Caenorhabditis elegans: one gene and its partner. The protein of the gene in region 1 purifies or fractionates together with the protein of each later gene. This does not show direct contact. Each region holds a gene or a part of one and is shown on either strand. Other genes may lie near its edges.

Region 1 (2,730 bases):
GCACACAACACTTGCATACATATAATTTAAAATGTCGTGCCAAATTTCAGTTGAAATTTTTTTCAATTCAATTTTAATTAGTGGTTTTTCTTTGTTTCAGTTCTACGATGTCACTTGTCATGCTCACGCCATGTAACATTTGGAAGTAGTATTTTGGACAAAAAAAAAGTTTTTTTTTTGGCAACTATGTCGAATTGAAAACGTCCATAACTGCCTCTTCCCCCTGTCTGTTTTTGTGCGTGGTGGTGTGTTCACTTGTATAAGTAGTTGTGTGTGATGGAAGTATTAGCCAGCATGGCGACTATTGTATTGAGAAACTGGTATACTGTACATTGTTTTACAATAGACTTCTTCAGACCTCAGGCGATTTTCAATTTTATTCCGGTTTTTCGAATGCCCAATGTCCAACTAACTTAAGGCTCTGACAAGATGTCCTCAATCATCTTACATTTTCTTTTTGTATTTTTTTTCCTATATTTTTGCACTCTAACAGACCAGGCCTCGATCGGTTTAATGGTACCCTTTTCCGAGTCCTTTCACCATCTGGACGTTTTTTACACAGATCCGACCAGACGCCCTCGATGAATGGATTGGTCTGTTCGCGAAATGGACATCGCCCCGTCTTCCTGTTCCCCTTTTTTTCCTTCACCCGATTTCCAAACCGGCGATTGGACGTCGTTGCCCAATATTCCTTACATCTCTGTCCAGACTGGCTGAACAGACACAACTTTGTCAGTCTAATTCGTGGCGACAGGAAAGACTCAGTCAGGTGGCGAGCATTTTTTTTTTGGCAAGTTGGTCACGTTTTTGATCAGTAAAAACTGATGATCAGAAAAAAGCTTTTAGATTCATCACAAGTTATATGTTTTCATTGCACTTTATTTTCATTTATACTATAGAGCCTGATAATTGAAATTTATTTGATCTGAATTTTTTCACACCAATCTTTTTTCTTTTTTCTTCTCACAGTATTTTCTTCACATACTTGTTTCTAACATTTTCCCACTCAGAATTTTCAAGATAGGGCCGCCGCTGCCAGCAAAAATGTTTTTTCTCTTTCATCGATCGTCTCAAAGATTGCTTCCTGCTCCATCCATGTCAACAATTCTGCTTTTCCACCCCCCCCCCCCCCCCCTCCTTCGCCAAGTTTCGATCTACCTACCATAGGAAACACTTTTTTCTGCTGATTCATTTTTATTTCTCGTCCAACACATTGTCTTCACATCTTTACATCAAAACTTTCCTTTTTTCCTATTTCTCTTCCCTCACACTTGAATGTTCCTTGATGAAATCTCACAAACCAAAAAAAAAATCGATAGAATTTTCAATTCCATTTCTTTTTTTCAATTCTTTTATGACGCAAAAACTTATACTTAGGATAATCTCTGACCGATTTTTCATACAGTCTACCACGAGCAGCAAATTTTTGAACTTCAGTTTGGTTTTGATTTTTTTTTAATTGCCAGAATATTTGCCGTCCATGTAAAAGATTGACTACGGCCAGTAGTTTAATTGTTAATAATCATTTTTATGGTGCTAAAATTACCAAAAAATCTTCCAGTTTTATGTTTCAATTGTGTTTGAAATATTTATATTCCAACATTGTAGGGGTTTGAACATGCGATAATGCTTTAATTTTCTTGATAAGTGACGCTCACTTTTTGACTCAAAATATAAAATTCCAAAATTGTTCAAAAACTTTTATATAATATATTTGAACAATTTAGCATCATAGAAATGGGTTATAATCATTTTTGTCATTGGCCATACGTCACCATTAACAATTTTAGGCGCTGTTCTGTTTTTGTTTTGAGTTCTTATACCAATACCCGTACAGATTACAGTAATCTCTATATTCCTTCTATATTCCTTCAACAAAACACGTGTTTTTCCTGCAATCAGCCGACCCGGCAACCGAAAAATATTATGCATTGAAAGGAATAGCGGGGAAAAAAGGCAGAGCATGAAGACGAGGAGCACACAAAAAAAGACGAAGGAAGAAAAAAAATGCGAGAGGGAGAGGCTTGCCAACCAAACCCACGTCGTCTAGTCTGGGAGTGTGAAAAAAAAAATTTTCGCCCGCCCGCCGCCGTCGCAGCCCGCTGTCAGTTGAGAACCACCAGCGGCCACTCGACACCGGCACCGACGACACCCGATGCTCCAAAACGCGCATCATTTTCATATTGATCACAAATTCCGAGAGAGAAGGAATGTTTTAACCAAAAACAACAGATTCGGATTACTTCTCCCATCGAACGTTCTGTATAAATATTGTTTGGAAACACGTGGGCAGCCGATTTTTAACAAATCTTCTGTTTCTCTCAATATGATTGATTGATTGAGTTAATTAATCAAGGTCATCAATTTTTCAAATTTTCAAAATTCGAAATTTGAAACCTAAAATCCACTTTTTCTCTTTTTTTCCACTGTTCCGTGTCGCAGCGGTCAAAGTTAACTTTTTGAGTTGTCATTCTTTATTGCATATATAAGCCGTTTCTTTCAATTCATTTGGTTGATTAAGGTACATTTAAAACCAATAGTTAACTAAAAAATGATCCAAATTTGTTACCCAACGACTGAAAAATACCTCAATTAAAGATAATCTCAAAAAATCAACTTCCGACCAACTGCCGAGATTTTAGCGAAACTTAGTTCTTTTTCGAAATTTTGAAACGACATTAAAACAATTTTTAAATTTTTTTAAAAGTTTTATCACGAAACTTGAACACA
Region 2 (6,131 bases), on another chromosome or scaffold:
TGACCGAAAGTTAACGCGTTTTTGATTTTTGAATAAGTTTTCTGGACTTTCCATCGAGTATAACTCAAATCTAGGTTACATGACAAATTTGGTAACCACCATCTTTCAGGCCATGGCTATCAAAGGTCAATCAGGATAAAGAATCGGCGACTGTAGACTACTCGTGCTTCTAGATTTGGAACTACAGTGTGCTCTCCGTAAATTAGTTATAAGAGAAAATTCAAAATTACCATTTTATTATTTTTCACCTTTAACCTGCTGATCACCATACTTTTGTTTGTTGCGAACTTTCAAAAACCAAAAAGAAATCAAAAGATGATATTGGAGAATCAACGTCATGTAGTCCTACATTCTCCTTCCAAACCACCCTCACTTTTTGCATATTTAAATCCCGAATTAATGTCTGATTTGTTTTTGTTTGTAATCGTCATTTACTACAACCGGCTCACAATTCATAGTACAAAAGGAAAACGATCCAACGTCTCTTTTTGTACAGTTTTATCAGACTTTTTTTCAACAATGGCAAAAGTTGAAAAGCGGGTAAAATTTCATCAGTTTTTTTTTCCGTTGGTTTGCCACTGAATTCGTTGATAAAGTTAGTTAGTTGGTTGTAGTTGGTTGCGTCAAAACGTATTTCGTTATTCAAAAATGAAAACAAGAGGGGCTTAAAAATGCAGTTTCTCAGCAACGTCCTCGAGCTTTTAAATTTTAAAACGTCGACAAAAATCAAACTTTCCCGAAACTGCTTCTGGCAGGCAGCCAATATTTTTTATCTTCAAAAGCTTCTAGCCTACCTGTCAAAGTTAGGCATTTTGTGTGAGGTTCTCATTAAAAATTAATCTCTAAATAATTAATTATCGTACAAACTGCACGATTTTTTTCAAATCCAAGATTTTTTCACAGTTTGGGGCTACAAGCCAGTATTTGCAAGAAGTTTAACCTATTATTTCTTGAATAAATTATCGGCCTCGATGAAACATCATTAAAGCTTTCCAGCTCTACCAACAAGGTGCTTTAATTAAACAACATAAATTCAGACTACAACTTCATTCATTCACTTCATTTTCATTGAATATTTTCATTACTTCATTCAGACAACGTACTGGTTTTCTAACAAACGGGATCTGGAACATTGAGTTTTCTAGAACCTACCTTCACGCTTGAAAAACCGAGTTTCTGGTGTGAACCCGTTCTTTTCTGCCAGACAATGTTTCCCAAACAAATTCTTACAATTCACCTTTACCTCCTCCCAGATGTCGCCTTAAAAATATTCAACATGCACCCGTGAATGCACTCATTGAATTGGCTATATTTGCGCACTTTCCGCCAAAGTTCCAAGATCACTTCCGAGCAAATAGGTGCTAGCGAAACATTCTGGTTTTTGTCTTCTACGATGCTTCATCCATGATTTCTTATAAAGACCAACAGTTACTATCAAGTTTCTTTCAGTTACTGCGATTACAGTTTATATCCGAGAGAACAGTAAGAAGTGAGTCTAGAAATATTTTACACCTGAAACTTTTGGATCAGTTGGATATTCCCACTGAAACATTGCGTGCCAGGAATGCCTCAACTTATATTCTATTAAAATAATTGTTATCATTTTGACTGCAAAGATTATTTAAGGACCGGTTTCCAGCCTCCTATTCTGAAAATGGAAATGACGCATTCACGTCACACGTGACTTGAATATTACACTGCAACACCACGTGCTTCTTTTGTAGTTCTTGGAATGTATTTTTAACAATGTGAACCATAATTTAAAAGTTTTGACAAGTGACCAGTTTGGGGAATTTGAGATGATAAAGTTGAATCACAAATTAGAATGTTGATAGATTAAAGAACTGTAGGAAACGTTTATGATGTTTACTAGCCGATTTTGTGGTTTCAAGGTTTATTTTTTAAGAATGCTCATATTATTTTTGTGTATAGTGCTACAATCGTTTCACAATTGTTTTTTTGTCATTTTAGACTAGTCTAGACATACATTTTAACGGCCGAACTATACTTCTACACTATGAAATTTTGATCTAAAAAACGTAAAATTAATTTTTGCGATAACGAGAACCGTAAATTTGCTCCAAGAGCGTTAATTTTTATTTCCGGCTTTTCATGATTTTCGTATTGTTAACCTTCTTGGGATATGAATTCTTTGACGATGTTTATTTTTATTTTGATCAGGCTGAACGGAAGAACTTTCAATTGTTTTTTTTAACACTAAAAGTTTAAAATACTAGTGTATTGCCCACTCTTAAAGCCCGTAGAAAAAACAGAAGCTCTCGATTCGGTAAAAGCTTTATACAGACGCGAAAACGCACTGAAAATGTTCAGATCGAAATAAAGTCAGAGACTACTCAAACTCTTTTTCCTTCTAAAACTCAAAAGTTCATAGATCTTAAAATAATAGAAAGTCATGTCGCTTTCTACAGAAACTTCTAGAAATGACAGTCAACATCCTCTTCTTACCTATCAACAAACAAGAGCGTTTGATCTCATTGTTCGGTGAATCTACAAGAATTTGCATAAAATCAAGTTGAAAGATTAAATATCATGGCAAGTCATCAGATTGGTTGATTAACTGACGCTCTCCTAATCTCTGCGTCTCTTCGATTCCAGCGCTCTCTGTAAATCTCATTCAGGTCATCATCGAATCTTGATATGTTCTGATGATAACTGTATTCATATTTTGCATTCTTCATTTCTTTCCTCTGCTCACAAATATATATTCTTTACAGTCATTTCCAGATAAGCAGATAGATAATTTCTCACCTCGAAACCCCCAATGCAGAAGCCTTCTGAAACAGGTCAAATGGGGGCGTGGCCTATTTGGAAATTTGAATTTATTAGGGAGTCACGTGTCGCTTGTCTTATCTGTTTCCTTCTTCTCATCCCACCCACAATGTACGATTTTGTATAAATATTCTCCTGATCGAAACCTGATTTCTTGTCTATCAGAGACTTTTCTGTACTATTCACAATATTTTTTCATCTGGAAATTCTGTCCAGAACTTTTCTTCCAACTCTAATTTTTAGTATTTGACTACAGTTCCACATTGGATCTCGCTCAAAGACATGTCCTTCAAAACTCATATCAAGTTTGTCGTCGTCACTATTATCTACTTTGCTCATATCTACTTTCGACGCCTTCCCATTACGCTTTTGCCACTGATTAGGGAGGAAATTGTGCTCACAAGTGATGATATTGGTAAGTTGTATTTTATTTTGTGTTTATTTCGGAAAATAATTTCAACCAAAGCCTGAGCCTAAACTTAGAATCCATTTTTGTACCTACGTGAAAGGCTTACAAGAAAATTTCAGAAAATTTCAACTTTGCCCATTAACTGAAGATCTTGTAGTTTTATTAAGTATACGAATCTGTAGTGTGATCTTCAAAGGTCTGAATCAGTTGTTTACATGGCAACCGTATCACTTGTTTGAACTGACTGCTGACACAACTTTCAATAAAACGGGATTTTTCAATTTGATAATTCATCACATGACCATACGATAATAAATTAAATATTCGATGATCAAATCTTGAAGGAAGCTAGTGATAAAGAATCACGTATTCACAATCAATTCAGCTTTGAACTTTGATAGCTAATATTGGATGGTTGTGAGAAAGTCAGCATCTTACAAAAAATACTTGATCTAAACTAATTTCAAGTTTTCAGGAATTCTCGTTTCTTCACATGCTCTTCTTTACACGATAGGACGTCTGTTATTTGGAATGGCATCGGATAGATATTCAAAAGTTGCTCTTTTACTACTGGGACTTGTCACTTGTGCAGCATGCTCAGTTGGTTTAGCATTTTCAAATCACTTATGGCAAATGTTGATTGCAATGATGCTTCTCGGAATTGTACAAGGCGCTGGATGGGTTCCGGCCACTCTACTAGTACAATCGGTGAGTTGATTTACAAAAATTAGATCTCCACAACTTTTATATTTTCAGTGGTACTCCAAGTCTACCTACGGAACAATGTTCTCAATTCTCGCTTGTGGTTCTACATTCGCTGGAATTCTTCAGCCATTTTCAAAGAAATTTTACTGGCGTAATGTAGAGCTGTATACTGGAGCAGGAATGCTTGTTTTCTCGATAGTATGCTTTATTGTGCTCCGCGAGGATAATGTGTCTCCGAAGCAGACAGAAGATGATGAGGAACCAAATCCAGAGAAAAAGAAGAAAGGAGGATTGAGAACTATTGTAGGATCGATTGTGATTTGGCATATATCTTTTGTTTACTTGTTCACCATGGAGGTAAGTGTGAAGAAAATATTTCACTGGGTCGAGCTGGCATACTTGTGGACAATCTTATTTTGTAATATCGTTATCTTTTAATCAACATTTATTTATTTCAGATGCGTACAATCTGTGAAACATGGGTTCAACTTTTCCTGACCGACTCCAAAATTTCCCCTGATGCTTTCCAAATTACCTATGAAATTGGTGGACTGGTGGGAACAATGGCATCTGGAATTGTAATTGATTTGGCAACTCGTAAATTTGATGTGGATGCAACCAGACGTGTGATTGCTGTATCGTACACCTGCCTGATGATGTTCTCAGCAGCCGGAATTTTTGAGTTTGCGGTGAGTTTTATTTGGATTAGGAATTTTTTATTTAGTATTAACTATTCAAAAATAATCAAATTTCACCCAGTTGTTTTAGGAATTGAGCTCAATCTTTGGATTCTTAGCTGGAATGTTTGTTAATGGATCGATTAATGTTTGGTGCATGATTGCTTCACAAGCTGGGTTCTCGAAAATTCAAGGAACTGTCAGTGCATTCATTTCGTTTATTGCCAGCTGTAAGTTTTTTTATAAAAATTCTTGTCCAATGTCAAATTCTTTCCCCTGGTGCATTATAATTTTCAAAAATCTTCTTTTTTTAATAATCTCAATTTTAATCATTAATATTTTCAGCTGGATCAATGCTTGCTGGAACCCCTCTAGCATACCTCATCAGCGTTTTTGGCTGGAAAGTCTTTCTCTACATCTTCTCAGTTCAACTCGTCATCGTCCTCTTTGTATCTTCATTCCGTGTACGTCTTCGTATGGATACTACAGAAAATGAAGCATCTAAAAATGAAATAGATGATGACGAAAGTTCAGGAGTTTGCAGTACAGTTGTAGATTCTCAAAGAAATTTGACAAGTCTCAATAAGAAAACTAGAATTTCAATGTTATTAGCCCTTTACGCGACGAAAAAAATTAAACCATTTAGAGATGTCTTAGCTTCTAATAAGGTTTAATTTTTGACATTCACTAGATTTTTAATTGTACATATAGATTTTTAATTGTACATATATGCAATTTTTGAAATTATTACTCACAACAAAAAACAAATTAATTTTGTTTGGAATCTCACTAATTTTCATATACGGGAAGATTTTTCTTTTTTTTTCAATTGAATACCCACTTCCATTGTCATAGCTTAACCACGAGTCAGAGTATTATCATGATTTTATTGATAATTGTCAGTTTGACAATAAATTCATATTTTATATGTACATTTTTCATGCTTTATCAAAATTGTTCTGTTTGTTTCGAACCATTTAATAAACAATTTCTATGATTTTTCTGTTTTTGGAAAAAAGAGCATGAGTAGAGCATTTTACCTTTTTCGTATGTTGTATTTTAATAATAGCAAAGTAATAGCAATTTTTTAAGTGTCAACTATAAAATTGTTGTTATATTTATTGATGAAGTTTTACCGTGACGAACTGCATTTTTTGAATTGTTTTATGAAATTAAAGCAAATAAAATTATGGCCTTTCAATTTTCCGTGCACGTGAACTTTTGTTAACTTTATCCACGTTGAAATCTAGTACATCATGCTAAGACATGCTATATAACAAGCTTGAAATCATAAATCTACTCATTGCGAATTCAATCGCTCAACTAACTTGCACAATCAACTCTACTAACACCATGGTCAAGAAGATCACTGTCTACACTGCTTTTGGACAATTCCTCGAGATGGTCGAGCGTCAAGCCATGCAGAGAAGGTAACAAGTTCCAGTGGTTCTTCCGGATGCCCGGATTCAGGCTCAGTCAGGGACTGCTTTGAATAAGGTTTTTTGAATTTTTAAGCTTAGCCTTGAAAATCAAGGAACGCATTTTAGGTT

What was found. Proteins that work in one complex are often made in the same cells at the same time.
Region 2: the proteins of W01H2.2 (region 1) and F47B8.10 fractionate together in Caenorhabditis elegans (co-fractionation; one large-scale study listed by BioGRID). This does not show direct contact.

What each region holds. Positions count from the first base shown.
Region 1 is NC_003284.9:4,217,736-4,220,465, reverse strand, and holds W01H2.2 (uncharacterized protein), read left to right. Parts: upstream 1-2,007; coding exon 2,008-2,187; downstream 2,188-2,730.
Region 2 is NC_003283.11:14,340,125-14,346,255, forward strand, and holds F47B8.10 (Major facilitator superfamily (MFS) profile domain-containing protein), read left to right. Parts: upstream 1-1,847; 5' UTR 1,848-3,072; coding exon 3,073-3,205; intron 3,206-3,674; coding exon 3,675-3,907; intron 3,908-3,955; coding exon 3,956-4,261; intron 4,262-4,362; coding exon 4,363-4,593; intron 4,594-4,672; coding exon 4,673-4,811; intron 4,812-4,926; coding exon 4,927-5,255; 3' UTR 5,256-5,580; downstream 5,581-6,131.